4 linked regions of the Stegostoma tigrinum genome follow. The protein of the gene in region 2 interacts with the protein of the main gene of each other region in a pairwise test. Links are inferred from orthologs where the notes say so. Each region holds a gene or a part of one and is shown on either strand. Other genes may lie near its edges. The genes, in order: serine/threonine-protein kinase PAK 5, pdlim7, zmynd11 and phf1.

Region 1 (7,921 bases), on a different chromosome or scaffold from region 2:
GAGTACTCAATGTTCAGCATAATATGCAACTCCCTCAGCTACTGAAGCAGTCAACGTCCAAATGCAGCAAGAACTGTATCTAGGTTTTGGCTGACAAGTGGCAAGTAACATTTTCATAACAAAATTGCCAAGCAACAAGCATCTCTAATAAGAGAGAGCCTAATCAATGTGCCTTGCGATTCAATGACATTATCACCACAAAAACCTCCACTATCAACATCCTGGTGGTTACCATTGGCCAGAACCAGAATTGCACTAGTCATGTAAGTGTAGTGACAAGAGCAGGTCAAAGACTCGGAACATTATAGCAATTTATTCGCCTCCAGACTCCCAGAGCTTGTTCACCAATTACAAGGAACAAGTCAAGAATATGATGCAATTTTTGCCTCGATGAGTGCACTCCAACAACACAGGAAGCCTGGCACTACCGAGGACTAAGTAGCTTGCTAGACCAGCACCACATCCACAAACATTCACAGCCTTAACCACCGACACTCAGTAGCAGCAATGTGTGCCATATAAAAGATGCATTGCAGAAGTTCACCAAGGCTCTTTAGGTTCTAGATTACCACTACCATCTAGAAAGACAGGATAAAAATGCATGGAACACCACCACCGGCAAATTCCTCTCCAAGCTACACCCCATCCTGACTTCAATCTTTATTGCTGTTCCTTAACTGTTTCTGGGCAAAATTCCTGGAATTCCCACCTTAGCAGAATTGTTGGGGTTTAAGATGACAAACCACCACCTTCTCAAGGACAGCCAGAGACTACCAATAATCACTAGAGATAATGGGAACTGCAGATGCTGGAGAATCCAAGATAATAAAATGTGAGGCTGGATGAACACAGCAGGCCCAGCAGCATCTCAGGAGCACAACTAGTTCCATCAGTGATGCCCACATCCCCAAGAATGAATTTAAAAACCTGAACTCCCATTCCCTCCCTATGAGCATCTCAGATTGCGAATACGACGGTTAAAACAAAAACTGGAAGACCAATCTGGAAGAGAGCCAGGTTAGTCTACTTGACTACGAGATCCTTGATTAGGGTTTTTAACCCTGGGCCAGTCCTGGTGGCTGACAGATATAAACAGAAGATTCAAAGAGTCTCCTTATTCAAGGGGCTGGCTGTGAGCTGACTGGTCAGAGCCCATGAACTGTGCACATCGAAATATAGAATGACTTGGTGATGGGATAGCAGTCTCTATGTAGTTATTTCAGAGGCATATTTGATTTTTCCTCTTTTAAAGGATACACATGGATATGGTTTAATAGTGAACTTCAACCGTTTTGAGAAAAGACATTAAATATTCCAGCACTACAGGTAAAGAAAGAAAATATTCTGTCCCACTCCGAGTGCTGCCAGCCAACAAGTATTGTTTTCAACAAGAACTAGGAAAATTTTAAATCAATTTGCAAAGCTAAAATCATTAAAATCAAATGATCCAATTACCAATGTAGACGCTATCGTTAACCACCACTGTAATGGCTGCAATGTTCTACTTCCGATGCTTCGTGAAGTACTCAAAGACTAACTGTTCTTTGAAACCATTTTGTTTGGGCTCACTTCTTATTGCTAATCTCTGTGTGCCGCATTGCATTATTATTTCTTCTCCTAGTCATTAATGAACTCACTCTTTTGATATTCAAGAAAGTCTCTTTAAACTGGGTCTAAAACTCAAGTTAATTTATTGTAGAAGATAGATATCTACAAAGAAACCAGTTTGTCTTTCTTCATACAAGCTCCATACAAGATTTGGGGTATCCCATCTGAAACCATAATGACTTGAAGAACATTACCTGGAGTCTGATGGTAACGACGTCTCAACAGAAAAGACCAATTAGCAATTGACAAAACTCAAAGTACGAACAATAGCCGAATGTGTTTACTTTGTAAGTGTGTGCAATTTATCCCACCATTCAAGAAGCAAATATAGCTAAGTCAGCAATATGAGTATTTTAAAAACTACCAAATTAGAAAGTTCCGTTAAAATACAAATGTTACCAACTACAGATGGAAATATCAAATTGCGTAATTTTACTTTGTACTCAGTACAATAGCAAGAAGCATATATAGAAAATAAAACCAACACAAATCTTTTCCAGAAACCATATGATCATTCGAAAGAAATGACATCTTGTCTGACGAGTCAACCACCATAAGGTTCTTCGAAGATACTCCTCCAAATTTCTGAGATACGTGTTTCCTAATCTGTTATGAAAACTTTCATATACGGTTATGCACGTCGCTCTTCCTTGCAATGTTGACAGATAAAAAAAACTTTTCCACTTCAAACCCGTGAAAGTATTGTACTACAGAATATGATGTACAAAGCTGGAGGGTACTGGATAAAGGGAATGCCAAAGAAAGGGGAACCTCGATTCAAATGGTCATTCATTCAAGTGGAAGAACGAACCAAGCAGCAAACGTGTGACAACGCTGACATGAAAAGGGGAAGGAGACGAAGAGAGCGCCTTTTGTTTGTGATGGAACTGGGGGGGCGGGGGGAGAATGATCCCAAGTGTCATTTAAATTGTAAGGGGAAAATAAAACTGACATTTCCTGCGGGAAGAGACACAATCCGGCACTGGTTTGTAAGAGATGGTCGGTTCTCCACAACGTTGCACCTGTTTCCTACCAGAGAGGCAGATCCGAAAGGATACCCGTCGAGGCTAATTTCAGCACCGCGTTCTTTGTCTGTGAGGCTGAGGAGTAAAGTTAATATCGCTGCCCTCTCTCAGAACGAAACAAAAAGCTGCTGTCAGGGCGCGCTTCAACCGTTTTCTCATCGCTAGCCGTCAGATCGAAGCATCATCGACACAATGTCACTGACATTTACCTCATCCCTAATGCGCGAATCAATCTTACCTTGTCCGAGCCTTCATCAATTACAGCTGCAGAAAAATAACGATGTGTCCATCTGTCTGTCTAAGGTGACGATAGCCGGCTTTCCCTCTCCTGTTACTCCACCGACGACGCCATGTTACCCATCCACTGCCGGCAGAGCGGCGGCCACATCCGGGGAGCGGGAAGGGCGGGGCCAGGCACGCGGTGGGCGGGAACCAGATGGGAGGGTGGGGCAATCCGGTCGATGGGCGGTCTCACCCAGGAGAGGGGACGGGCCAAAGGCGGGGGAGGGCGGGACGCTGGCGGTGAAGGCGGGGCCAGCCGCACGAGGGCATGAGACGCGTAGAGGGCGGGGCTACAATGAGGGGCGGGGAGAACACGCGAAGGGTCGGGGCAGGGCGGCGGAGGTTGGGGTCCATCCAGGTGACGGACTGGTGGACACGTTGCACCGGTGGGCGGTGACAGGAGGGGCACAAGGGGGCGGGCTGCGCGCTGTGGGCGGGGAAACAGGCGGCTTCTGGGCCCGGGGAGCGGGAAAGTTGTGCACGTGCGTACGTTCTCCTTGAGGGGGGTTGTTGGCGGGTCAAGGATGGGGGTCTTGGATTGGTACAAGACGAGCGGTGGGCGGTGCCTGGATGCAATGGGCGGGCCATAGTGGTAGGGGGCGTGGCTAGGGCGCCAGTGAAATGGGCGGGGTCGGAATTGCCTGAGAAAATGGAATGTTTCCTGGGAGCTCCGGTGAGCCCGTGGCTCATTCATAACAATGGGCCATGCCCATGCCGCCTTGTAGCAACATCTCAGAGGAACACAAAACCTAGGGATTTTATAGCTCCAATCACCCATACGGGCGTAAAAACCGTCTCTTTCAGTTCTTGTTAACCTGCAAAACGTTTCTCGTAACTAATTTCCTCACGTGGCCCATAACCAGCTCTTAATCATTCAGACACTTCCCAAATTCGGCGAAGTTTAGCGTGCATTTTCCATGCGTTGCAAGTTAGACCGTTGCAATCAACGTTGTTTCAAACACAATGGAGAAGACCAAGCTGGTGGGTCTTAGTTGCGAGGAAGAGTCACCGGACCCGAAATATTAACTCTGATTTTTTTTCTTCACAGATGCTGCCAGCCTGTTGAGCTTTTCCAGCAACGTTTGTTCCTGATTTACAGCACCCACATTTCTTTCGGTTATTATGAAGCTGGTAATTCTGCCTCCTTCAAGAAACTGAGTTGTTCCACCTCCCTAGTTTAGCAAGACGTCATTATATTGGTCTTTGTTTAAGACATTCCTCAGCGTTAACTCTCTCAAGACTTCCACTATTATATAACAATCATATTGACACTGGTGTAGTAACCTAAAAGCTTCAGAGATAGCAACTCGTGGAATATAAGCAACTGTCTGTCCGAAGGCAATGATATCAACATTAACGGAAATATTAAGTCAGCTTCTCAATTCTGTCAAAAAGTTCTGCAAGTCTCAAAACATTAACTCTATTTCTCTGTCCACAGATGGTGTCAGACTTTGAGTTTTTTGAATATTCTCTGCATTTGTTTCTGATTTCCAACATCCGCAGTAATTTGTCTTTATTTGAAAGGTTACTAATGATGGGAGGATCAAAATGAGATGCTTCAGGAGTCTCTCAACCTGTTCACGATCATGACAGCAAAGCATTTCAATATGCCGTGTTGACTGAAGCCCTAAGGACTATCTAACCTTAGTACTGTGCCATGATCGTGCACTATCTCTCTGCTGTCTTTTTACCTAATAGACAGTAGGACACATAATATTTTGATACTTGAAAGTGGGATTGCCCAAAGAAGTCAAGGAAAATCAAGTAGAAAATGAGACAACAAATATAAATCAAGCTAAGAACCACAAGGTGCATCACATGCAGATGCATGAGACATGTATGTGTTGCTGTGCACTTAGCAGCCTGGCAGAAGCATTCAGTCAAAAGACCTCCAAAGAAAAGCATTGAAAGGGTGAATAGTGTGGGAGTTGGACCAGGAACAGCTAGCTGATGTGATGAAATTGGTGGTTTGTTCTTGTCAGCTTGCACAGATGAAGGACCGAGGATGATAGTGTCCATGGAGCATTCAGAGCAATTGTGATGAAGACACAGTTGGAGGATGGCTTGTGAAATGGCATCAGGAACACCAAGGCCAGACACCGGACTCCGCTAAGCAAGAGAGGCAGTTTACTTCAGGGATGAAGTTTGGTGTAGGAATCACAGCAATAGCCTAAAGGCCAGGTGTGGTGACATATAAAGTTTGAGTAGGTACGATGGTCCTGAAGAAGCACATGAACCATATGAAAATAACATGTTCCCTGCTCCTTGACTGCTTTTCCAACAGTTCCAGAATGCTTGGGTTCTCCTCTTCGGTCAAGCATTTTCAAGATACCTGGCGATCTGAGGTAGACGTGGTGGATGTTACCACCTTGATGCCTTTGCCAACGGAAGAGGAGAGTAAATTTCTTCCAAGATGTGCAAGTTACGTTACACTTGCACGTATCAGTGCCAGAGTTGGCGGAACCTGGTGCTAAAATGGCCCAGGAGAAGCTACAAAATAAAAGAATTAGTCTACGTCCTTGGACTCAGTGTTGGATCTAGTGGGACTCTTGTGTCATGCTGGCAGCAACTACAATGGTTTGCCGGCCTGACTCCTGAAGAAAATTGTAATCATTTGGCTGGGGCTTTGCTTTGTTTTGGGGTTTTGCTGTGGGATGACATACAGTGCCTCTGTTCAGTCGTGAGTGAGGCTATACAATTTCCTTCACTCAGGTGGTGTTTCCCAAGCTCAGTCAGACTGGTGAGGGGGTCCACTTCTTTTGGAATACCTTGCAACTTGTATGCTCCATTTTTCTGCATTTTCCAATGATAAAGCCAGTTGTAGTATCTGAAGTCCAGGAAGGCTTCAGCTAGTGGGCGCTTTTGCATGGTTATATCATTAATCCCATTCTTGTCACCACTGAAATAACTCCCCAGAGGCTGATATCCCGTAACTAAGTCACCCTTTATTCTCAGATGGAAAGTTCTTGACACTGATCCAGTCCCCTCAGAGCCAGCTGTTAGAGTGAACAAACCTCCAACACTTCCGTTTCTATCTATTAGCCAGGGGTCCCTAATGGGACCATGTTAACAGTCCCAATCTATGAGGCTCACTTGGCTGACCTTGTTACAATCTCTACAGCTAGAACAAGCAATCAGTGAGCTGCATTTCCCAGGTACTCTCTCTGACTTGTATGTCAGGAATTTGCACCATATAGTTTCTCAGGATCGAGCAGAATTGAAAGTTGTGCATAAATAAGTCAAGTTGGGTCTTTAATTTGATGTAAATACATGGAAATGAGATACGTACCACTCAACAATGAGATACATTTAAAACTTAAGAGAAAAGTTTGAAAAAATTTTCCACAATGGTAAGATTCTGATTTCTCCATTCTCGCTATACTTTACCACCTTTCTCACCATTGCCATGCCATACCAGGAAGAGAAAAATTCCACTTTCTGTGATTGCTTGAACTGTAGAGCTTTTCCTCATAAACAGGCTCCTTAATCATTTTTAATATAAGTAAATGCCTTCTGAGCACTTAAATCTGCTAAATTATCAAATCCAACATTGTTTGAGCTTCGTATCATAAGACCATAAGATATAGGAGTGGAAGTAAGGCCATTTGGCCCATTAAGTCCACTCCGCCATTTAAATCATGGCTGACGGGCTTTTCAACTCCACTTCCCTGCACTCTCCCTGTAGCCCTTGATTCCTTCTGAGATCAAGAATTTGTCGATCTCTGCCTTGAAGGCATCCAACGTCCTGGCTTCCACTGCGCTCCGTGGCAATGAATTCCCCAAGCCCACCACTCTCTGGCTGAAGAAATGTCGTCTCATTTCCGTTTTAAATTTACCCCCTCTAATTCTAAGGCTGTGCCCACGGGTCCTAGTCTCCCTGCCTAACGGAAATAACTTCCTAGCGTCCACCCCTTCTAAACCATACATTATCTTGAAAGTTTCTATTAGATCTCCCCTCAACCTTCTAAACTCTAATGAGTACAATCCCAGGATCCTTAGCCGTTCATCATACGTTAAACGTACCATTCCAGGGATCATCCGTGTGAATCTCTGCTGGACACGCTCCAGGGCTAGTATGTCCTTCCTGAGATGTGGGGCCCAAAATTGGACACAGTATTCTAAATGGGGCCTAACTAGAGCCTTATAAAGCCTCGGAAGCATATCGCTGCTTTTATATTCCAACCGTCTTGAGATAAATGAGTATCATGTCCAATTGTGCATTCTCTCACGAATGATGACATTTGTGATTTGATGTCAAAAGATGACTAAGTGATCCCTTGTGAATGCGGGTGAACCCAAACAGGGGGTTGATGTTGGATGATGATGTCAACATTTTCCAGTAGTGCAATGCCTGGAGACCAAGCTAAGGAATTCTAACAAATGCATTTAAAATTCAGTCAAAAATCAAAGACTCATATGAGTCAGAGGTGTTAGATTTCTTTAAGGATGCTTTGAGAACATTTGTTTGACCAATTGTGTGTCTTCCTGTCTTGACTGAGCTTTAAACAAAACAGAATCTTGTGTCACCCATGCAAACAGCATTTCCTATCTACTGGAGCTGGCTTTAGGTGATGATCACCTTGAGGCTGGGCAAGTTGGCTTAGTAAGAGATGCTATTGTTGGACCACCTGTCTCACACTCACTCATGCCTATTTGTAGCAAGACAGGGCATTTGACCCTTGTAACCTGCTCAACAAGATCATGGCTGATCTCCAGTCCACATGCCCTTCTAGCCCAATAACTATTGACTACCTTGTTAATCCAATTCTATCCACCTTTATCTTAAAAATATTCAATAACCTTGCCTCCAAAGACTCATGACTGTCTGAGAGGGAAAAATATTCCTCATTTTTAGTCTTCTCAGAGGAGACCCTTTTAATTCCAAACTTTATACTTTTTAGTTCCAGTTTTTCCCACATGCAGAAGCATCTTTTCAGCATCCATCCAGTCATGTTCCCTCAGACTGCCTCACCTTTCATAGAATCCCTACAGTGTGGAAGCGCGCC
Region 2 (7,684 bases):
ATTGCTGTCTTCATAGTAGCTTTTTGTTTAATTATACACATCTGAGGGATCCAAATGCATTAGGAAACATGGATCAACCAGCAAAAGAAAACTGCAGCCAAGGACAAACATTACTTCACAGTAAGAAATTCCAATAGCCAAAATTTTGTGCATCATGTTGCTTTTCTTTAAGATTCCAAACAGTGTGGAAACAGGCCCTTTGGCCCAACAAGTCCACACTGCCACTTGGAGCATCCCACCCAAACCCATCCACCCCTGACCACAATGGGCAATTTAGCACTATGGGCCAATCCACCTAGCCCACACATCTTTGGACTGTGGGAGGAAACTGGAGCACCTGAAGAAAACCCATGCAGACACGGGGAAAATGTGCAAACTCCACACAGACAGTTGCCTGAGGCTGGAATCAAACTTGGGTCCCTGGCGCTGTGAGGCTGCAGTGCTAACTACTGAGCCACCGTGCCACCCTTTTGTTCAACAGATTTCACACTCTTCCCCTCCACCTCACATTCTAAGCCCCAACTTTGCCTATCGTTTGCTAAGACTATGTAAAGTTCAAGTTGCCGCTCCATTCTACTGCATTAGCAACACTCTGGAAATATTCAAATGTATTCATCACTTTACTCGGCTTGTATATATAAATATAATTGTATATAGTTTTAAAGAAAGCCTATTTAATTGGGTGGAACATGATAGGGGATCTGAGGCGAGGCAATGTCGCAAGACAAGGAGGGTTGTGAGAGGAAATCAGCACGTTGAAGCATATGGAGAGATTTGTGCGGGGGGGGGTGGAGCTGAGGTGACCAGGGGATAACAACTGTTTAAATAATACCCTTAATGTAATATTATGTCGCAAGGAGCAAGCGCAAAACCAAGTATGAAAGGCTCATTGTTCAGTGGTCAAAACGTCCTTGTACAAGTACCATCTGCTCCAGACAAGCATCACAACAAGTTAATTAAAAACTTCTTAATGTATAACATCAAACCAAACAAGGGGATAGTAGTGGCCAAAAGTTAGTTCAAGGAAATAGGTGTTAAAAGCGTATTGCAAAGGTCCCTACCTGCTAAGAGGGGAACGAGAAAAAGTAGGGGTGGAATGAGCTGCAGGGCCGAGGATTGTGGCATGGGGGGTGTTTTCTGTACAAGTTGTAGACAGTCTGGAATTTGCTTTTAGCTTGCAGTATTTAAAACAATCTACAGAACACTGCTGTTCTAACAGTCAAATGTCTGGTTGTAGAATACAATTACAAAATGCTTTCTTGACTGGAAAATTTACAGACTTTAAATAAAACAAAATCCCAGAGCTTAAAACATTGTGATAAAATGAATGATGACAACAATCAATACACTGATGCCAAATATACCTTAAAGTAAACTAAGCTATGCAAAAGAAAGCACATAAAATAAGAGCAAGTACAAATATGGATGCAGCATTAACATGCAACCTCAATAAACCCTTTCAATAATGCAAGTTCTGAGACCTATATGGAGTTGTTATCCTTCTTCTCCATGCTGAAACTCTTGCCCATATCTGGTCATAAGAAAAGAATCTTCCTTGCTCTTGGAAGAGTGAGGATAGATCGCAAGAGAATTTTAGTCATAAAAGAACTGTTTTTAAAACACTGCAGTAAAATTATTCCAAAATAAATTTTAAATGGTAATAAATTAGGGCAAATAAATGCATTCTTGCAAAAGACTGCAGCAATGATCCTTTTCAAATCAGATTTATTCAAAAGAAAATCATCTAGCTTATCTGAAGGTAACAAAGAATTGAAACATTTACTCGAAGATAGCATGCCTCAGTTTGGAACTACAGTATTAAAGTTATCACTGGGTTCAGAATCAAATTATGTTGCGAGACAACATTATAAGCAATAATCAGAACGCGTTAAAATGCAGTTTTTAAAAAAACAAAATAGCTGTCGAAACGTTTGCATTCGAATGTAAGATATTTGGTATTGGACCTAAATAAAAGACTATGAGATGTGATAGTGACCTCATCTGGTCCGTTCGAAGAAGAGATTGCTGGCAGTCTACTCAGAGGGGTCAGATCAATTTACACTGCTCGTTCTCAGTGTAGTTGGAAGCTTCAGCCTTTTACTAATCCCTTCACATTCCTGATATGCAAGAATCACGCTGGAATGCTTTCAATACTGCGATTTTAAAGATACCATTTTGTATCACACGACCACCCTGTGTTGCATTAACACGTTACTCTGGGTTCCTTCGAAGTCAGGAATTGTTGGCTCTCAAACACAAAACGCCTGCGAGTTAATTTCACGGTTTCTGAACTAAAGGACACGAAGCCGCGTGCAGCCATCAGCTGAAAAGCCGCAGTACCCCTCTAACGCCCTAACTCCCTTCGCTTCGGAACATGAAGCAACTGCAGCACACACTTACATCAGAGGGTGCGTTTTAAACTTGGTGCCCGAATGATTACACCGGGAGTTCAAAAAGCATGAAGTGAGACTGCATGGCTAGTAGGGGGTTACTCAACTTGCTTAGTCTTAAAATGTCACAAACCCTGCTTTGACTTTGCCACTTCATGAAACAAACAGGTAACAAGTACAGAGAGAGAGAGAGAGAGAATAAAAGAGGATATATCTGGTCACCCTCGCTCACCCTAGACATGGTTAAAGGCTTGTTGAAGTCTTTTCCTCCCTGTAGTCTAAAACCCCACGGAGCCGGTCCTTCCAGGGTCACTTTGTACAACTCCATCGTCGGTGGAGAGGTTGCTGTTTGCTGGAAAAAAAACAACGGCTCTCTATTTTTGTTTGCTTGTCTAAAGACCGAATCAGAAAACTTTTTTTGGGGGGGGGCGGTGGAATTAGGAAACAACTGAGCGCAGTCCCAGAACTGAGGGAGAAAGAGGGAGGTAGATCCGCGGCGATACAGCCACTCACTTTATCCTACGGAGAATGACAGCTCCGAGCTTCCAGGCTATATAAGGCGTGTAAAACTACACCAACACTTTCAGCACTTTTTTATGACTCACGCCAGGGAATTCAAGCGCCACACAACACGTCACTCTGCCATTTCCCGTCCAATCTTAAGACTTTCAACCAGAGACTTTTTTTAAGAACACAGTGCAATACTTTAAATTGAAGTCACTTGATGTTGCCTGGAGATTACTGGAGTGAGTTGACTCCCGCAGTATTTACGGTAAAACTTAAAAAGTTTACATCTTAAAAGAGTCAAATACTGATGGAAATCAGTTGTGTGTTAGATGTCTTATTCCTTAATCAACAGTGTTCTCTGATCCCCACTTTTGATCAGAGGGGGAATAAAGTGGTGAGAAGTGTTCCCTTGGTTTAAAAAAAATGGCAAGGAGTTCGTGATACAACATGGCCCATTTATCAGGCCAGAATTACATCATAGGAAATGCCAGGAACAGGGCGCACCTCAAATTTGCCATGCGATGCCTCCAGGGAAACAGGCAGTAGCCTCTTTGTTTCTCTTGCTAAATGACCGCTGATTGCTCTCGTGTCAAAACACTGCAAGTTTCTAGTTAGCACCGAGCTTCATATACTCCTGCAAAATAAAGCAATTACTTGATTCTTCCGACCAAACAAAACGTCACGCCCAGCAGTCTGGCTCTAAACCTTGGAGTCAAAAACAGGACTCGGGTGTGTCTGATAACACAGACGGCGACACACGTTACAAGGAGTTCATGATTCAGATAAAGAAGCAGCATTAAATCTCATCCCAAGGAAATTAAGAGAAAATGTAGTTTACACAAAGCATAGCAAGTAGTAAAGTAATGAGCATTTCGAAAAAAAATCATTAAAATAAATGTTAGGAGAGCGGGCGGAATGGAATTAATAATTGTTCAAAAGCTACGCCGGTATTTTTTCGTTTTTGCGCCACTCTGAACCTAAAAGTTTACAGAAATAAAAAAACACGTTTCTGTCTGTTGTGGATGGTTACACAATTAGAAATCAGCATGCAATCAGATTAAACTCCCACACTAGCTATCTCAGCTAAAATTTACCCTGATTGTCCAATACAGTATTGAAGGAGTACTGCACAGTCTTGAAGATGAAATTTCAAACCAAGGTCTCAGGGCGAATTAAACAATCCAGGGCATTATTTTGAAGAACAAGGCAGTTCTCTTCAATGTTCTTGGCAAAATTTGCCCCTCAACTACAACACAGAAAATATCATCTGGTCCTTATCCTATTACTACTGTGAAGTTTACTGTGTATAATGTAACTGCTGTGTTTAGAATCTCAAAGCAAGGTCACTTGAATAATCTTTATATGGCACTAATTGGCCTCAGTTGTAGTTTATCGCATAAAGGTTATGAAGGCTTGGTGCAGAAGGAAAACCTTACAAATATAATTCTGAAGACAAAATACTTCAGCTATGTTGACAGATTACAAAATTTCATCACCCTAGATTATTGTCTTAAATAATTCCCCAGTCACATCATTAGAACAGCTGAAACTTGAACCCAGATCTCTTGCCTCAGTTTGGGGACAGTACCATTGCACCTTAAGAACCCATACAGTTGCTATTTTACACTCTTTTAAACCACCCCAGAACTTCCAACCAAAAACAGATCGTACTCAGTTTGCCAAAGACATTTTGCACTGCTGTACTATTGTGACTGGGATTGCATTGACTTTGAAGCTTTGGGACAAATTTCTGAACATCTCTGATACTAGGACCTTTTAGACCAATAGATACAGAATGCGACAGAAATTAAACATTGTACTATTTCTGGACTGTCCATTGTTTGCCTTCCTAGGAGGAGAGACTTGAAGTCCGGAGACACAGTGACAATCTACACATTCAATAAATAGAGCCGCTTCTTTCTTTTGAGCTACGTTCCCACCACCAAAATCATGGCAACATTTTTGTGCTTGTTTTTAACCTACTGACCACCCGCATTAAAACATCCTGTGTAGCTATTTGAATATTTATAAGCAAAGCCCATTGCACACAATGCTAACCATCAAAAGTGAGGTGTGAGAGAGGAGGGGAAGTGGGAAGGGACTAAATCAAATGGATTTGGAGGGGGTAATAAAGTACTGTATCCTCCTCTAAAGGCTTCAAGAACATTGATGGATGCAGCATGCTTCTTCTCCAATGATACTCAGGCAAGAAGTTAATTGAGGGAAGACATGCAGACGGCTGGCAGAGATCACCTCTTCACTGCCCGCTGCATGGACCTGTTTATCACCAGCCTAGCCAGGTCCAGGAGTAGACCCATGAGGACATCGTCCTATCTGTCCACACCAGTTACCCAAAGATCAGGAGTGTGGTGCTAAAGTGCAACCCAAAACACAACAAAAGAGTTTTTAAATAACTAAAATGGGTGTGCATTGCCCACAACCAATATATACTTGGCCCATGGGCTCCACAGTGCCACAAAATAAACAGTTTGGCTGGGAGTCTGTGAATGCCTACAATCTGCAGTTGTAAGGGACTGCTGCGTGCAACACTTTCCATCCCAGATCCCCAATGGAAAGTGGAAGGACTCCCATGTAGAGAGCCCTACACTGGGGATAATCACTTTTTATTAATGAAAGTCAGACAGAATTAAGAACGGTCTCCAGACTAACAAATAGCCCCTGACAATGATCTCATAAATGACTTTGTTCCTCCAACATCACCCATTTCTGCCACTCTCTCAGCAATGTTAATCAAAATTAGGAATTTATATTCTGTTTCTGGATTTGTGTGTGATGTTTTGTCACTGTTTATTCTTTTCGCCCCATGTTCACCCTTTTACACACCAAACACACCATCATCTTCCAACACACTTTCTCTGTGGTCCAGTTTGGGTCCATTAGTCCCATCCAATCATCTACACAAAGGAAGCCAGAGCATCCCGACTAATAACATTTATTCCTCAAAACAATCATTAACTTAGATCCATCATTGGCATCTCTTCATTATCCAGATGCTGTTCTGGGGATCAGTATGTATCCTGGCAATATCCATCATTTATACTGCTAGGTATTTCTTCAAAATTTATTCTCTGAACTTGGATGTTGTTGGCAACTCCAGTGCTTTCTGCCCATCCTGAATGTACTTGAGAAAGTGATAATGAACTGCCTCCTTGAACCTCTGTAATCATCACAGTCTGTAGTCACCTGCAAGCTAAACAGGGTAAAGATGGTAGATTCTTCTCCAAAGGGCATTAGTCACTCACATTTTTATGTAGATATATCACTCCAATACGTCATGATCATCATTACTATTATCAGATTTTCAACTGATTAATTAACTGCATTCAAATTTGAAACTCATGGCTTCACATTATTAGTTCAGTCGTCTAATTATCCCTACATTTGTATAATAGTATAATACTGCTTGCCTGACATCTGGTACAGGATATAATCATCGAATGATTACAGCATTGGAGACCATTCTGTCAGTTATATGCATGCCAGCTCTCTGCAAGAGCAATACAGCTGGACCCTTGGACCTGTCATTTTTTTTTGCCATAAGCCCTGCAAGTCTTTAATTTCCCGGTTCTTATTCAATTTCTTCTGAAATGCTGTCATTAATTCTGCCTTCATCATGCTCTTGTGTGGTGCATTCCAGATTTTAGTCACTTGCTGCATCAAAATGATTTTCCTCAAGTTGCATTTGATTCCTTTGCCAATCATCTTAAATCTGTCTCCTCAGTTTACTGACCCATCCAGCAATAAGAACACTTTCCCTCTCTCTACTCTGTCTAAACCCTACAAGCATTTTCAAAGCTAATATGAAATCTCAAACTTCTCTTAATGGAGAACAGCTCCAGCCTCTACAATACATCAACGTAGCTGAAGTGTTTTGTTCCTAGAATTATATTAGTAAGTTTTCTTTTCTGCACCTCCATAAAACCTCCATAAGCTTCATTTGATAATCTACAATTGAGGTCAATTAGTGCAAAATAAAGATTTACTAAAGTGACTTCGCTTTTGGATTCTAAACACAGCAGTCACATTTTGCACTATCAACTTGACAGTGGTAATGTGATAAGGACCAGATGACATTTTAAATGATATTAGTTAAGGGACAAATGTTGACAAGAACTCTGAAAAGAACTCCTTTGTTCTTAAAAATGGTGCCTTGGATTGTTTACTTGTCCCTGAGAGGAAGGTGAGACCTTAGTTTGACATTTCATCTTGAAAGCCATGCAGCACTCCCTCAATACTGTATTTACAGTCAGACTCGATTTTAACTGAAGTAGCTGGCGTGGGAGTTTAATTTAGAAACTTTTGCCTAAGGGGCAACGGTGGCATCAATATGTAGTGAACCCAGCTGTGCACAATCCCAATGTTCTACTTAATCACAGGGTACGGTTCTAATTGTTATCTTCCCCAATGAAACGATTATATATGTGCATCTCTATAACATTATCCGCTGCGTACTGCCCTAAACTTTCATGTTATTGAAACCGTCTTCCATATGCTTGTGTTCTGGAAACCTTGATTAATCCTAATATTTCTCATGATCAGTCTACCAGCTTCCACTTTACCTAACTGCAACTTACTTAAAGATAATGCGAACTGCAGATGCTGGAGAATGCAAGATAACAAAGTGTGAAGCTGGATGAACACAGCAGGCCAAGCCACATCTTAGGAGCATAAAAGCTGATGTTTCGGGCCTAGACCCTTCATCAGAGGGGTCTAGGCCCGAAACGTCAGCTTTTATGCTCCTAAGATGCTGCTTGGTCTGCTGTGTT
Region 3 (7,367 bases), on a different chromosome or scaffold from region 2:
TGAACATATAACCAACTAACATGGAAGCCAACAATAACTGAAGTTGCTGGAAAAGCTCAGCAAGTCTGGCAGTATCTGTGAAGAAAAGATCAGAGTTAACATTTTGGGTCCAGTGACCCTGCCTCCGAGGAAGGGTCACCGGACCCGAAACGTTAACTCTGATTTTTTTCTTCACAGATGCTGCCAGACCTGCTGAGCTTTTCCAGCAACTTCAGTTATTGTTCCTGATTTACAGCATCTGCAGTTCTTTCAGTTTTTAACATGGAAGCCAATCTTCAGCCAGTGTGATTCACTCCAACACTTCGGCAAATTCTTGTGCTCCAGAACAAATTGCACCCCAAGCCAAAGCTGTTCCAGTGCAATTGCAACACTGGATTCAACCTACTAATGTGGAAAATTGAGATACTGGATCCAACAAACCGATGGGCTCCAGTGGTTCCCATAATTGCTATGCTGAAGAATTGTAATCAAGACCTAGCCAAGACATTTCTGTATAGCTACAGTTGAAAAAGTAAAAACTTGGCTAAGTTTGTACTCCCCAAAAAAATGACCAATCCATTCTGTCCAATTAGTGGCCCTATAGTCATCTCGGAATCTGCGGAGCCTGTCTGCCCACGAGGTACGATTCAGGAGTGTAATGTATTATTCCCACTTGCCTGGATGAGTGCCGCCCCAACACCACTCAAGAAGCTTGATACCATCCACGACAAAGCAACCTGCTTGATTGGCACCACGTCCATAAACATCTACTCCTTCCACCGTGACTCTCAGTAAAAGCAGTGCATATGGTCTACAAGATGCATTGCAGAAATTCACCAAAACTCCTCAAACAGCACCTTCCAAGCCAATGATCAATTCCAATTGCAAACTTTTAGATAATGAAACATTCCCAGTACTTGTCTGACTGTTTCATTCTCTACAATTCATCATCTATTATCATGGACATCCTCCCATTGCAAAGTTGTGTGGAAGACTGCCTAGCCAGAGAGATGAGAAGCCTAAGCCCTCAATAGACCCAACAGAGAGATGTTTTCAGGATCCTCAATGCAAGATATCTGTTTTAACCAAATTGGTGGTATAATGGACAGGGAACGTTATCCAAGATTACAAAGGTACATTGATCAATGGGGCTAAAGGGCTAAGGAGTGGCAGATGGCATTAAATTTGGTTAAATGCAAGGTGTTGCATTTTGGTAAAACAAATAAAGGCAGGACATACACAATAAATGGTAGAGCCCTGGATAATGTTGTCAAACATTGAGACCTACGGGGTTCAGGTAAGAAGTTCTTCAAAAGTTGTGTCACAGGTTGAAGGCAATTAGCATGCTTGCCTTCATTGCTCAGACCATTTAGTTAAAGGAGTCAGGGCATCATGCTGCAGTTGTACAGGACATTGGTGAGGCCACTTTAGGCGTACTGTGCATAGTTCTGGTTGCCCTGCTATAGGAAGGATTTTATTAAATTGGTGAGGGTTCGGAAAAGACTTACTAAGATGTTGCTGGGACTAGAGGGTTTGAGTTATAAAGAGAGACTGGATAGGCTGGGACTTCTTTCAGTGGAGTGCAGGAGGTTGAGGGATGACTCTATAAAGGTTTATAAAATCATGAGGAGCATAGATGAGGTGAATCCCAAAGGTCTTTTCCTTCAGATAGTAGAGTTCAAAGCAAGAGGGCGTATTTATTTAAGGGGAGAGGAGAGATTTGAGATGGACTTGAGGTACAACTTTTTCACACAGAGTATGGCTAGTATGAGGAATGATCTGCCAGAGGAAATAGTAGTTGTAGTTTCAGCTATAACATTTAAAAGACATTTGGACAGGTATATGAATAGAAAAGGTTTCAAGGGATATGGACCAAATGCAAGCGAGACGAGTTTAGTTTAGGAAATTTCATTGCTTGATGAGTTGGATCGAGGGTCTGTTTTTGTGCTGTATGACTCCAAAATATTTACATCTGGACTTGGAAACTACACCTGCTCTGACTCATCATAGCTCCAACAACTATCATCTAGGTTCTACTGCAGACCTGCCATAAAAAGAGATAATAGGAACTGCAGATGTTGGAGAATCTGAGATAACAAGGTGTGGAGCTGAATGAACACAGCAGGCCAAGCAGCCTGCTTCGAAGGTGCTGCTTGGCCTGCTGTGTTCAGCCAGCTCCACACCTTGCCATAAAAAAGGCCCTGATGGGATTAATAGCAATATGCAAATATTTAGATAGTATTTTGCTGGAATAGTGACACTGTCACTGAAGTTATAATTGCAGCATAATTCTCTAGAGATAGGGAGGTGAAAATAAGAGCGAGAGAAGGACAGTGAAGAGGAGGAGGAGAAGAAGGTGGTGTAATGAGCAAAAAGAGGGATCAGTCTGTTCAGTGATAGAGAGGGAACAATATGTTTACTGATGGAGAATGTTCAGTGTCATCAAGATGGACCGGGATCACTGTTTCTGGTGCTGGAGAGGTATCAGTGCATTTGGTGGTGGACAGTGATCAGTACATTTCGAAATCGAGCGTGATCAATGTGTGTGGTGGTGGAGAGGCATCAGTGCATTTGGTGATGGAGATGGATCATTATGTTTAGTAATGCAGAGGGATCAAAAGGGTACAGGGTAGTGGAGAATGAGGGAGGAGACGTGAAGGTGATGCTGGAGGATGAAGACTAGAGAGGGTGAAGGGTGGTTGATGGTGGAGATGAAGAAGAAAGAGAGAGGGTATTGATGGAGATATTTGAGGAGGTGAGCGGTGGTAGAGGAGGTTGAGGAGCAGAGAGGGTGATGATGGTGGAGACAGTGATGATGGTGAGGGAGGAGAGAGGGTCCTTGTGCCAGTGGAGGAGGAGGAGAGAGGGTAGTGTTGTAAGAAAAAGAATAAAGCATATAGTAGGAGCAGAGATGGTGGAGGAAGAGGAAGTGGGAGGGCGATGGTGACGGAGGAAGAAGAGAGAGGGTGCTGGTGAAGAGGAAACAACCTGATGGTAGAGGGGTCAAGGAAGTGACAGGGTGATGGTGGAGGAGGTTGAATGGAGAGTGGTGATGCTAGAGGGGGAGAAGGAGAGACAGAGTGATGGTGGAAGAGGTCAACGAGTGGAGAGGGTGATTGTGGAGGGAGGAGAGAGGGAGATGGTAGTGGAGGAGGAGGAGAGAGGGTGATGTGGTTGGGGGAATTAGAATTATAATAGGTTCATTGTCAAGTGTGATCAAGTACAGGAGCACAGTGAAATGTTTACAGTGTTGCCCCACATGGTGCCATCTTAGGTACTAAGTATCTGGGTGCAAATCTTAGGTACAAAATAGAGAGAGACATAAGAAGGTTACATTACCATACATTAAATCATAGTATAAGTTAGAAAAATAAGGACCAACACTAAAAAGATAAGCTGAAGTTTTTCTATAAAAGGCCTGCAGTAGATCAATGCAGGGAACTTCCACCTGTGACCTGACTGGTCTCACAAGCCGGCGATCACCCACGCTGGTTCCCCAGTCAAACATCTGTCCTTGATCTGGGCACATTGGTTGAGGAGGGGGATGAGCAGGGGAAGATTGTAGTGGTGGTGGTGGAGGAGAGAGGGTGATGTAGAGGGGTTTGAGGAGGAAAGGGTGATGGTGGAGGGTGAGGGGAGAGGGTAATGTGGAGAGGAGGAGGATGAGAGTGTGTGTTGTAGAGGGAGAGGAGAGTGTGAGATGAGGGTGGTAATGGAGGAGGAGAGAGTGGTGTGGAGGAAGAGAGTCAGGGGCTGCTTCTGGTCATGGTGGAGGATGAGAGTGAGGGATGAGCATGACAGTGGAGGAGGAGAGTGAAGGATGAGGGTGGCAGTGAAGGAGGAGAGTGAGGGATGAGGGCGGCAGTGAAGGAGGAGAGTGAGGGGATGGTGCTGGAGGTGGAGGAGGAGAGTGAGGGTGACAGTGGAGAAGAAGAGTGTGGGGTTGGTGCTAGAGGTGGAGGAGGAGAGTGAGGGATGAGGGTGAAAGTGGAGGAGGTGAGTGAATGGCAGGTGCTGGATGAGGAGAGTGAAGGATGAGGGGTGACAATGGAGGAGGAGAGTGAGGGATGAGGGTTAAAGTGGAGGAGGAGAGTGAGGGATAATGGTGAAAGTGGAGGAGGAGTGAGTGGCAGGTGCTGGAGGAGGAGAGTGAGGGATGAGTGTTGACAGTAGAGGAGGAGAGTGAGGGGTTGGTGCTGGAAGTGGAGGAGGAGAGTGAGGTTAGACATGGACAGGAGAAGCACAGTGAGGGATGAGGGTGTTGGGCGGAGGTTTGCCTGCTGCTATTCCGAGCTCTGCCGCTGAGGGGCGTGCGCGGACGGAGGGGCCCCTGTTGTTGATGTGGAGCCGAGTCCGAGGGGGAAGCGAGCGGAGCCCGATACTGACAGGCCCCGCCAGCACCGGGCACAGGGGCCGCGGGAGGAAAGGAACTCCACAGCGGCTCAGCTGCCGGGCGGATCGTCCGGAGATAACCGACCGGGAAGTGGCAGAGGTGAGCAGAACCGGGGTCCAGGATGGAGGGGGGACTCGGAGCCGGGGAGCTCGCTGTATGTGTTGGCGGGTGGGAAACCGGGAACATGGCGGCCCGTCTGCGCCCGGCTGTAGGGGAGGGTGGCCTCGCCTTTCGAGGAGTGAGGAGTTTGGCGGGGGGTGGGTTTACTCCCAAAGCCGGGGAGAGGCTGCAGGCGGTAGCTAGGCCGAGCCGGCCTTCCCCAGTGTGTCTCTGTCTTTGTTTTATTTATTTCACTTCAGACCCTGTGGCCGGGGTTTAATGTTCTCCTCCTCTTGCCGCTGCCGGACACACTTTTCTGTTCGAAGCCCGACTTGTCGGGAGACCAGTGTTTTTTTTATTGTTAGGGAAGATTGTCTCTCCACATCCCCCCCCACCCCCTCCTTCACCTTTTTAAAGGTGGCGATGGGTGGGAAAAGTCAGAAGAAAACCAGACCCCAGGGAACTATGACCATTAATAGGGTTTACGAACACTCTCTCTGGGCTCTGATGGATGGTTGCTCCTTGAACGTTAACCATCATAGTTTCGTAGAGCTGGCCCACCTTTAAATCAACAGTTTAGCCCTGGTGTCTGTATTCATTTGCACAGTCTGTGTGGCAAACGTTGTATTTCAAATTGACTGTTAACTTGTAACACCTTTTCTCACTTCAGTTTTTCCTAATGACTTGGAATGACTGGGGTGGCAATTGTGAAAGCCAGGGGGTCAGTCATTTTCTCTGTGGTCTTGTTTCTTTTTTTTGAGAAAAATCAATGGCCGACGTTGCACTTTTGATAAAGGCAAGTACACTTTAGGTTTTGTAAACGACTGGGAATTTTACAGCAGGCAGTTGATACGTACATATGTGTTTGAAAATCTGTAATGCTTTACATGTGTGACACATGCAGTGGTATTAAATAGTCTGTCAAGCGTGCATAGTATTCCAGAATTAAAATATAGCCTTTGGTTTCTGCTGTGCATTATGGCCTCATAAATTAAAAGGAATGTATCTTGCCTGTAGTTTGGAAGTCTAAGCTACTGTTTTACTTGTTGCTGGTATCTGATCCTGACTTGCATTGGCTTTTAAATCATACTTGTATATAGCAGTTGGTTGTCCCATAATTCTTTTATCTATCTTTACCCCCTCCTGTTTCTCATCTGCATGGTGCTGCTTTGCAGCATCGTCTATCAGGTTTCAAATGTACGTAGGCAGCACCCACCCCTTTCTCCCATGACTCCCCCATTTCTAGTACTGGCAGACTGTTAGTCTGGAGATGAGCAGCATGTAGTGGTCTTGCCAATGATGCTTACATCCCTTGAAAATATTTTAAGTCTGGGCTGAGTTGCACGTTTTTCTAACCTAACCTTAAAATGATCAATACCAGTTTTTATCCAACTACAAACTCTTTCCTTGTCACTGATTTCCTCCTCTTCCCTGGGTGTTTTCTCGGGCCGAAATATAGAACCTCGGCGACCATCTGATTTGAATCAAAGTTGAATTTGTAACTCCATGTCATGTCGATCCAAAACTGCCCCATTCTCTTTCTGATCCTGCCACGGCTGTTGTTACCCTTGCCTGTGCTTTAGTTACCTTCTGTTCTTGGCTTAGCCTACCCTCTTTTGTTTTCTAAAAGATTAAGCTCTCACACTCTATATTCTAGCCTGCAATACGTTCCATTTAATCAAGTAAGTTCTCTGTTTGTTGACCTATATTAGCTCCTAGTTCAGTAACTCCTCAATTTTAAAATTCTCATTCTCTTGTGAAATCCCTTCGGGAAGTAAAACCACCCCGACTTGATTGCAATCCTTCAGAAGCTCGGATTCCTCCAGTTCAGGATTCTGATACATATCCCACTGCTAGTGTGGCTTAACGGCTTGGTCTTCAGCTCTGAAAGTTCTTCCCCAAACCACCCTTCTTTCATCAAGGTTCCCTTTAACCTATCTTTCTAATCAACCTGCTGCTGTTGTTACACACCTCTGGAGCAGTTTAGACTTGAACCCAGGTTTCTTGCTTCAGGGGTAGGGGCACTACTGCTGTGGTGCGAGAGGGCTGCTTCCTGTGTTTTTTAAGTTTAGTCACCTGACCTGTTATCACCTCCTTTGGCGTGGTGTCAATTTTTGTCTGACTGCACTCCTGTGAAGCACTTGGGTTGTTTTCCTGTGTTAAGGGTGTTAGTTAAACAAAAGAAGTTGTTATTATGGATGAGTTTTGCACTCGCCCATTGCCTGACTTGAGTAAAGTATAATCCATTCATATTGAAATTAATAGTGTAATCTCCATCTGTCTCAAGTAGTGGCATTGTATTGACACCAAGTTATTTTATATGCAAGCAAGAGCTGCATACCAAGTGCCCCTGCTTTACCCATCTCACATGAAGTATTGTTGTCAGCCATTCTTGTGAGAGAATTGAGCAGATTCATCCATGCAAATGCACATAGATAAGCCTTTCATGAGAGGTGACCCTGCTGAGAGCATAGAGCGTAAAACAGGTGGTGCCACAAATCCATCATCTTGCATTGAATGTATGTTCACCTGAATTCAACACTTCGTAACCGCGTTCAGAATCATAGTCTTACAGTATAGATTTCTCCATTTCTAGTTATGATTGAGTTTGCTTCCTTGACTTTGCCATCAATATTGATAAGTGCACATATTTTAAAAATTCAGAAGATAATTCCTTATTTTAGCCATCTATTTTACGTGCTTAGGAATTGCAGGATGGGTAAAGATCAAGTCTTATCTAGTTCAGTTACTGTCATCTTCCTATTTGCAGGATAGAACAATTACTGACTGACCGCAGAGTAATCAGTCTTCCTTTCAAGTAGTCTTTGACTGGCCCCAACAAGGAAAACCCCAGTGCTGGAGAGCATTAAGAAATCATAACCTATTCCTCTCAGGC
Region 4 (7,628 bases), on a different chromosome or scaffold from region 2:
GGGAAGAGTGGACCAGAGTGGCCTGGAGAGAATGGTCCCTGTGGAAGGTTGACAAGGGAGGGAAGGGGAATATGTGTCTGGTGGTGGCATCCCGCTGGAGGTGGTGGAAATGGTGTCTGATGATCTTCTGAATGTGGATGCTGGTGGGTGATAGGTAATAGGTGAGTACAAGGGGGTCCCTACTGCAGTTGTGAGAGGGAAGAGAGGAGGTGAGGGCTGTAGTATGGGAGATAGATTGGACCCAGCTGAGGGCCCTGCCAACAACAGTGCTGAGGAATCCTCAGTTGAGGTAGAAGGTGGACATTTCAGAAGCTCCCTTGTCAAAATTGCCATCATCAGAACAGATGCATCGGAGGTGAAGAAACGGGGCGAGTGGAATAGGTTCTTTAGGTCTGAGGATGTATAGTCTAGGTAACTGTGGGTGTCGCTGGGTTTATGGTGGATATGGTGGCCAGCCTAAGCCCAGAAATGGAAACAATGATGTGTAGGAAGGGAAGGGAGGAGTCAGAGATGGACCAGGTGAAAGTGAGAGCAGGGTGGAAATTGGAAGCAAAAGCAAAGCCTCGACCTATTTCGCTACATGACCCATTAGAGACTCAAGTCCAGAGAAATGTTCCTCCTAAATCTATTTAAGTTTCTACTTAATTGATTCTTTCCAGCTTTTTTTCCTCTCTGAGTCGATGTAATTGCCTAGTGGAATTATTGCTGGAATATTAATTCAGAGTCCAAGGTAATGTTCTGGAAACCTAGATTTGAATCTTACCATGGCAGATGGAAGAATTTTAATTCAATTTCTTTTTAAAAAAGTCCAGAATTAAAAGTCTAATGATGACCATAAACCCATTATCAATTGTCAGGAAAAAAAGACTGTCTGGTTCACTTATGCCGTTTAGGGAAGGAAATCTAACTTACATATTCATGTGGCCTGCGTGTGACTCGACATCCACCACAAAGTAACAGCGATGGGCAATAAATGCTGACCATGCCAGTGGCACCTCCTTCCCATGAATGAAGGAAACAAAACCATGCAATTTCCACAATCTCTTTCCGAGTATACTGGCATGAACATTTCACCATGCTGAGGGCTGAAATTTTCTCAGTCCTAGTGACTGAAAGATGGCTGCATAGGTTTTTCCACCTTGGAGGTTTCACAGGTGAGGACATACTTGCTGAGGTGCCTAGTTCTCTTGAATGCTAAGGGAAACTCAGAAGTATTCACATCCTCTCCAATAACAACACCATCAGTGTTCTGTTAGACACTTGACTGCATCATATATTTTGTCAGCGATGATGCGTTTAGGTCACTGTTCCAGAGTGACTTTCCAACCTTTTCTTTCAAGAAAAGTCTTCAAAGAACTGACCAAAATCCCTTCATCTCTATTTTAGTTACCAAATTCCAAAAATGATAACGTATACTGTAAACCTTTCATCACAATACCATCATACATAGGTGGTTTTCTGCACTTCTGTAGAAAATATTAATTCCAAACATGATTAATTTACTTTAAATCTTTATGAAATTCTATCATATAATTACCACTTATTCCCTGGACGCCTCATTACTGCAATACTATTAATGACACTTCCCATCATTGCGAAATACTTGACCCAAAATAATCTATTTCCTAGTGGACACCTCAGTATATCCTGCATACTTTCCATGACCCATCCTCCATGCTTATACAAGTTTAGCTTTTCCATTTAATGTGAGGCTTAAAGTCCCCAAAGCCAGCAATATTACATGGACGTCTAATTTCCCGATTTCCATGTGACAAATGCTGACAGAGGGATCACTGAGCAACTCCCACCAATATTTTCTGTCCCTTAGTGTAGCTTGTCTCCAAAAACTGGTGATTTTCTGACTGAACTGATGGCCAAGATTCCGACAGCACACTCTCAGACTTCAGAAATGGCTTTAACACACTTCTGAACAGTCTGAGGGATTTTTCTTTTTCCCAACAATTCAGTACAGGTTTGAGTTCCCTTTGATCCCTGAGGGAAGTTGTTCAAGGGGCATATGGTTCTCCTCCAGCTATTACCATATCTTGTTTTGACATCATTCCTTGGTTCCCTCATTCCTGCCAATTTGTGATTGCTCTACCTGTTCAAAACTTGGGTTCATTTCATTGCCAGACCCTGTTCCTTAGAAACGCTTTTTCCAGAAAGAGATTTTTAAAATGACATCATGGTAAGTGTGCTTTTTGGCTGCAGTGCTGATGCCTGTCAGAAGTGGAGAATGAGATAATTCTCCAGTGCTGGCATTGAGTACCACAATTAGACGCAGGGCAAATCTCACTGTCTCTCTATAACCAACCCACTCCACCAAAACAGTGCGACGTCTGCCTATTTCCCACGGTTTCCACACCCTGGCAGCTTTGGGGCAGCTTGTCCCTTGGCCCATCGCCCATTAGTAACTGGGTTGAGCGATTGCCCGAATTCATTTCATGCAGAACCTTCACAGTTGACAAAGGAGACTTTCATCCTGTCAGAACTTCACGTCGAAATGTTTGGCTTTTGTCTCAGTCAACAGCCTGTGACTTCAGGTTTCCAGACACATTTGACAATAGCATACTCCACAGAGGATCAACTCCCGATCCAAAGCCACCACAGTTCGCCTTCTCTCTCTTGCTCTCCTACCTGCTGTTTGATGGAGCAATCCCTGTATTGTTAGTAGTTCATAGAACACAATTACAAAAAAGGGAGAACTTTTTGTCTGGTCATGTATAAAGCTTCATTTTGCTTTGCAGGAGAATTTGATAAACCTCCCTGGAGCACTTCAGAGGCAGTTTCAAAGTCAAACACGGTGGGCCCTTGGGCAGGGGATGGTATTGACAGTGACGTAGGACTGGGATTATATACAGCCCAGACTGGGTAAACAATGTGAATGAACCAGAGATAGTAGGAACTGCAGATGCTGGAGAATCTGAGATAACAAGGTGTAGAGCCGGATGACACAGGAGGCCAAATGAACCAGTTGGATTATGATGACAACCCAACAACTTCGTCATCATTTTACTGATCACAGATCCTGCTCTGGCTTTTTTTAATGAAGTAAATAAAGTTGAATTCAACAATTTTCAAACTTGCCACCTATTCTTTGTGTCATTTGCAAACTTGGCTATAGTACTTTTGCTCATCCAAGCCATTTATACATATTATAAATAATTGTGGCCCCAACACTTTGATGCCTGTGGCACACCACTATTTAGAGTTTGCCATCCTGAAAATTCCCTACCTTATCCCAACTCTCTGTCCTCTCCTAGTGAGCCAATCCTCTATCAACGCTAATATATCTTCTCCACACCATGGACAGCTATTTAATGGCCCAATGTGTGGCAGCTTATCAATCATGTTCCGTAAATCCAAATGTATAATATCCACTGTTTCCCTTTTATCAATCATGCTTGTTGTTTCCTCAAAGAGTTGTAAAAAATATTGTTAGGCGTGATTTCCCCCCTTCATGAAGCAATGCTGACTCTGCTTGATCATATTATACATTTCTGAATGCTCTGTAATTACATCCTTTACAAGAGACTCTAACATTTTCCCAAGAACAGAGCTTAAGGTCACTGGCCTATAGTTATCTTTTCCGACTCCTTTCAAAATAGCGTTTGGGGCTGTTCTCTGCAAGAAGGCGAAAGGGGCATCAGAGAGAGGTTCTCATAATCTGGATAAGACCCAGAACTGTTTAAAGCATCAGGAACGAGAGGACACGGATTTAAAGCGTTTTGCAAAAGAAGAACTAGGGTTGGGGAGCTAAACTAAAACAAATGTGCTGGGCATCTGAAAAAAAAAACAGGAAATGGCTGAGAAACGCATCTGCAGAAAGAGAAAGTCGAGCTAACGTTTCGTGTTGTGACCCATCGTCAGAACGATTAAAGTGGCTGTTCGGGCCATCGTGTCTGTACTAGCTCTTTGATAGAAATGCCAAACAGCTTTCCCACCTTTTCCTCGTCACCTTATAAATTCCCCCCGCCCCTATGCCGTCCGTTCACATAAAGTGTTGCAAAGTACCCCGTGCCGTCTTTACTTTCTGCGTGTGGGAATCTTCCCGTGCACGGGTGGCCTTTCAAAGCGAAAGAAAATTCAGTAGACATGCCCCACAAAGCCCCATCTCGATGATTTCACGATCTTTATCAAACAGGTTTACAGTCTACTCCCAAAGCTGAAGTATTTATGAGGCTAGCGACCTAATTGGGGAGAAAATTTCTCAGAATTCAACGAAGTGCCCGAGAGACGGGGTGGGGTAGGGTTTGGACTGGGAAATGTTTCACCGAAGTCAAGTTCTTTCAACTCATTCCGCCTCGTCACTGATCCTTCCTTCCCTGGCGAACGAAATGCAAAATCCCACAAGTTGTGTACAGTCTGCAAATACAGAGTGGTTCTAAACGGTTTCTGGGGAGCATGTGTTTTTATTATTTTGTAAAATAAATCATCCCTAATTATTTATTGCACTCCTAGTGGGTGTTATATAATTCAATCATGCTGCTGTCAACAGCGCAGGGCGGAAGACAATGAACAGTATTAAATGTGTGGCGAACATAACGCGCACTTGTTTACACAATTTCTCTCTCTCTCTCTCTCACACACACACACACCGATTGAATTTCAAGCCGTGGACCGAAATTAGCTGTAGTCTGCGTCACAGGAAGATGGCGACTGGCAGAGCTGTTGGAGACGTGTTGTATGTGTTTTTATCTGAGTTGAAAACCTCACTGTGAATGAGCCAAGTGCAGACACACACACACACACACACGCACACTGCTCCAGGAGAGAAACTCCCGCAGTTCATTACTGGGTGTGGAGCCAGCCGCTGCAGGTGAGTGTTTACTGTAACAGATAGCGGGGTGGGATCCTATCGTCTTGGGGAGGTTTTTAAAAAAAGGAAAAATATGCCCCAGAGAAACGGCAGGATGAAGCCCTCCGTGCAATTTTTTTTGGAACTTCCTCCGCTGGGCCAGAGAGAGAGAAAACTGCAGCAACATGCCCTGTAATGTGTAAGCAACTGGGGGCGTCAGTTTCTCAACACTCTCCCTTATACATGAGCCTTCCCTTCCCAACTCCCCCCCGTACACCTTTACAAATAGCGAGATAAAAAATATAGTCGGTGTGCAAAAAAGATATGGGAGCAGGAGGGAGAGGTTGATTTTAGCAGACGTGAGGGGACACACAAATCGCTAGATCTGCGGAACAGTAAAATGTTGTATCATTTCCTCGTCTCCAGCGGAATGTCTGATTTCCTCGAGGATCGTCAGGTCACTGGCGGGGGCAGATTTGGGGCCGAAGGAATCAGACGGTTCAGTAGGCGGCCCTTCGGCCCGTCTGAGTCTGTACCGCCAAAAGTACGCTACGTTCCGCCCACATCATCCCCTCTTTCCCTACGTGTGTGTCATACGGGAGCAAGCTGTTCCTGATCAATATTCTCTCTCTCTGCATGTTGTATTTAGGGAGGAGTTGGGGCGGGAAGGGGGGTGCGCGGAAGGATGCTGAGGTTTTTCATACTGTACATTCTTTCCTCCCCGTGGAGTTTGCATCAGCTATCCGCTCACGGCCCTCATAAGGGAAAAGGGGTGATACTTCTGCAGAACAGCCACAAGGCACACGCCCACCTGCCTCTCGCTTTGATAGTGTGTTATGCATGCAGCTTTGGAAGGGGGAAGGTCCTGGGCTGGGGTGCCCGCCTCGTTGTTTTGATTTGCATTTCGAGACTCGAATAGAGACTCTTCCACACCCCCCCCCCCCAAACCCGGCCAACAAAAACACACACACACTTTCAGATATTACGGCCAGCCAGCGCTGTTCGTTGCAATTCAGGAAGGATGTACGGTGTACGCAGGCCTCAGAGAGGGGATGCAGCACAGAATCAACTGGTTTGATACTGGCTCCGCAAGGGTTAAACTCTGTGGACAGCTTGCAAACTGTGTGCGCGTTCCCTTCGACACAGGAAGTCAAGCAGCATCCCACTCGGAGCGTTGAAAACGACCAGGGTGAGTAGAGCCGGGAGTCCAGCACATAAGGGGGCAGTTTTTCATTGGATGGTGGAAATTCGACACCCCCTCCCACCCCCCCCCCCTCCCCACCGCCAAAAGACAGTGAGACAAGAGTTGAAAACTTGCAAGTCAGGGAGTATGATGGCCACTCGCCTGGGTAGGTGCAGCTCCAACAACACTCGAGAAGCTCGACAACAGTCTAGGAAAATGCAGCCCCCGCTTAATTGGCACCACATCCACAAGCATCCGCTCCCTCCACTCCCAAGGCAAAGTGGAGGAAATGTGTGCCACCAACCAGATGCATTGTCAAATCTCCTTTGCCGGCATGTTGCAAATTCAGTGACCTTTACCTCCTGGGAGGACAAGGGCAGTGGATACATGGGAACACCGCCACCTTCAAGTTCCCCTCCAAGCCACTGTCCATCCTGACTTAGAAATATGTCGCTGTTCCACCAAAATCCTGGAATTCCCTCCCTCACAGAATAGTGGATCTGCCGACAGCATGTGGACTGCAGTGGTTCAAGAAGGCAGCTCACTACTGCCTTGGGGGCAGTTTGGATGGGCAATAAATGTTACCCAGTGATTGACACCCATACCAAATGTGACCCTACAAAAGGCTAATTTTAAAGATTTTAACCTTGAAGTTGGTAGAATATGGTGTGGGAAGGTGCCTCCCATTCTTAGAAGAAATAAAGGCACAGGCAGTTTAGCATAGACAATTTGCAGTACAGGTATGCATTGAAGAGTTGTGCATGTCTCTACACAGTAGAAATAGAGGGCAGAAAGTGTACACAGTTCTTAATATATTATTGGCTGAAGCTATTGATATTCTGTAGATTCACCATTCTGACTTAGTTTAAATTTAATTTAACAATACCAATTAATATTTGTAAAACCTAACTCCCACCCATTTAGAGATACTGTACACTTTGCTTCTGAGCCAATCCCCTTATACATCTGCTTGTGATCAGTTAGCCATGTTAGGCTGAGCTGAAAAAGAAAACGTTAAGACATTTTAGCTGTTTGAGATAAATAATGACAGGCTGTGTGCGTTTGTGAACATTCATTAAATTCCTGTCAAAAAGGATTGTTTTTAAATTTCCAATTATTTACTTAATATAGACCTTTATTTATTTTGAGGTTTACTTAGTAAAGGCAGTATACATTATGCTTTTACATAGCTTCAAGTTTAGACAGAGTTTCTATTCTATTCTTTGGTATTTATGAAGCTTGGTGTTGTAACTAACATCTGTCAGAGCAATTAGAAATATTTGGTTCTTTCTTGCTGCAACTGTGCAAAACACTAGTGCGGCTGCATTTGCAACATACAAGATGATCAGAGGAGTAGATAGGGTGGACAGTGAGAGTCTTTTTCCGAGGATGATGATTTCACCTTGTACAGGGGCTGATAGATTTAAGACAGATGACAGAGGCTGGTTCTTTACTCAGAGAGTGGTAAGGGCGTGGAACGCCCTGCCTGCCAATGTAGTTAACTCAGCCACATTTAAACAGTCCTTGGATAAGCATATGAATGATGATGGAATAGTGTAGGGAAGGGGCTTAGATTAGTTCATAGGTCGGCGCAACATCAAAGGCCGAAGGCCTGTTCTGCACTGTATTGTTCTATGTCTATGACAT

The links.
Region 1: the proteins of pdlim7 (region 2) and serine/threonine-protein kinase PAK 5 interact in a two-hybrid assay, tested with the Homo sapiens proteins (2 studies listed by BioGRID and IntAct). The two-hybrid records come from large-scale screens. The link is inferred for Stegostoma tigrinum from reciprocal best matches to the Homo sapiens genes PDLIM7 and PAK5.
Region 3: the proteins of pdlim7 (region 2) and zmynd11 interact in a two-hybrid assay, tested with the Homo sapiens proteins (2 studies listed by BioGRID). The link is inferred for Stegostoma tigrinum from reciprocal best matches to the Homo sapiens genes PDLIM7 and ZMYND11.
Region 4: the proteins of pdlim7 (region 2) and phf1 interact in binary tests that used the Homo sapiens proteins (3 or more experiments, as listed by UniProt). The two-hybrid records come from large-scale screens. The link is inferred for Stegostoma tigrinum from reciprocal best matches to the Homo sapiens genes PDLIM7 and PHF1.

The regions. Positions count from the first base shown.
Region 1 is NC_081362.1:7,933,077-7,940,997, reverse strand, and holds the start of serine/threonine-protein kinase PAK 5, read right to left. Parts: upstream 3,007-7,921; 5' UTR 2,872-3,006; intron 1-2,871.
Region 2 is NC_081366.1:43,155,050-43,162,733, reverse strand, and holds the start of pdlim7 (PDZ and LIM domain protein 7), read right to left. Parts: upstream 3,008-7,684; 5' UTR 2,904-3,007; intron 2,898-2,903; exon of another isoform or gene 2,743-2,897; 5' UTR 2,719-2,742; coding exon 2,623-2,718; intron 1-2,622. UniProt on the Homo sapiens protein: May function as a scaffold on which the coordinated assembly of proteins can occur. May play a role as an adapter that, via its PDZ domain, localizes LIM-binding proteins to actin filaments of both skeletal muscle and nonmuscle tissues.
Region 3 is NC_081355.1:137,701,972-137,709,338, reverse strand, and holds the start of zmynd11 (zinc finger MYND domain-containing protein 11), read left to right. Parts: upstream 1-4,355; 5' UTR 4,356-4,471; intron 4,472-7,367. UniProt on the Homo sapiens protein: Chromatin reader that specifically recognizes and binds histone H3.3 trimethylated at 'Lys-36' (H3.3K36me3) and regulates RNA polymerase II elongation. Does not bind other histone H3 subtypes (H3.1 or H3.2).
Region 4 is NC_081387.1:17,109,887-17,117,514, forward strand, and holds the start of phf1 (PHD finger protein 1), read left to right. Parts: upstream 1-4,622; 5' UTR 4,623-4,819; intron 4,820-5,703; exon of another isoform or gene 5,704-5,987; intron 5,988-7,628. UniProt on the Homo sapiens protein: Polycomb group (PcG) that specifically binds histone H3 trimethylated at 'Lys-36' (H3K36me3) and recruits the PRC2 complex. Involved in DNA damage response and is recruited at double-strand breaks (DSBs).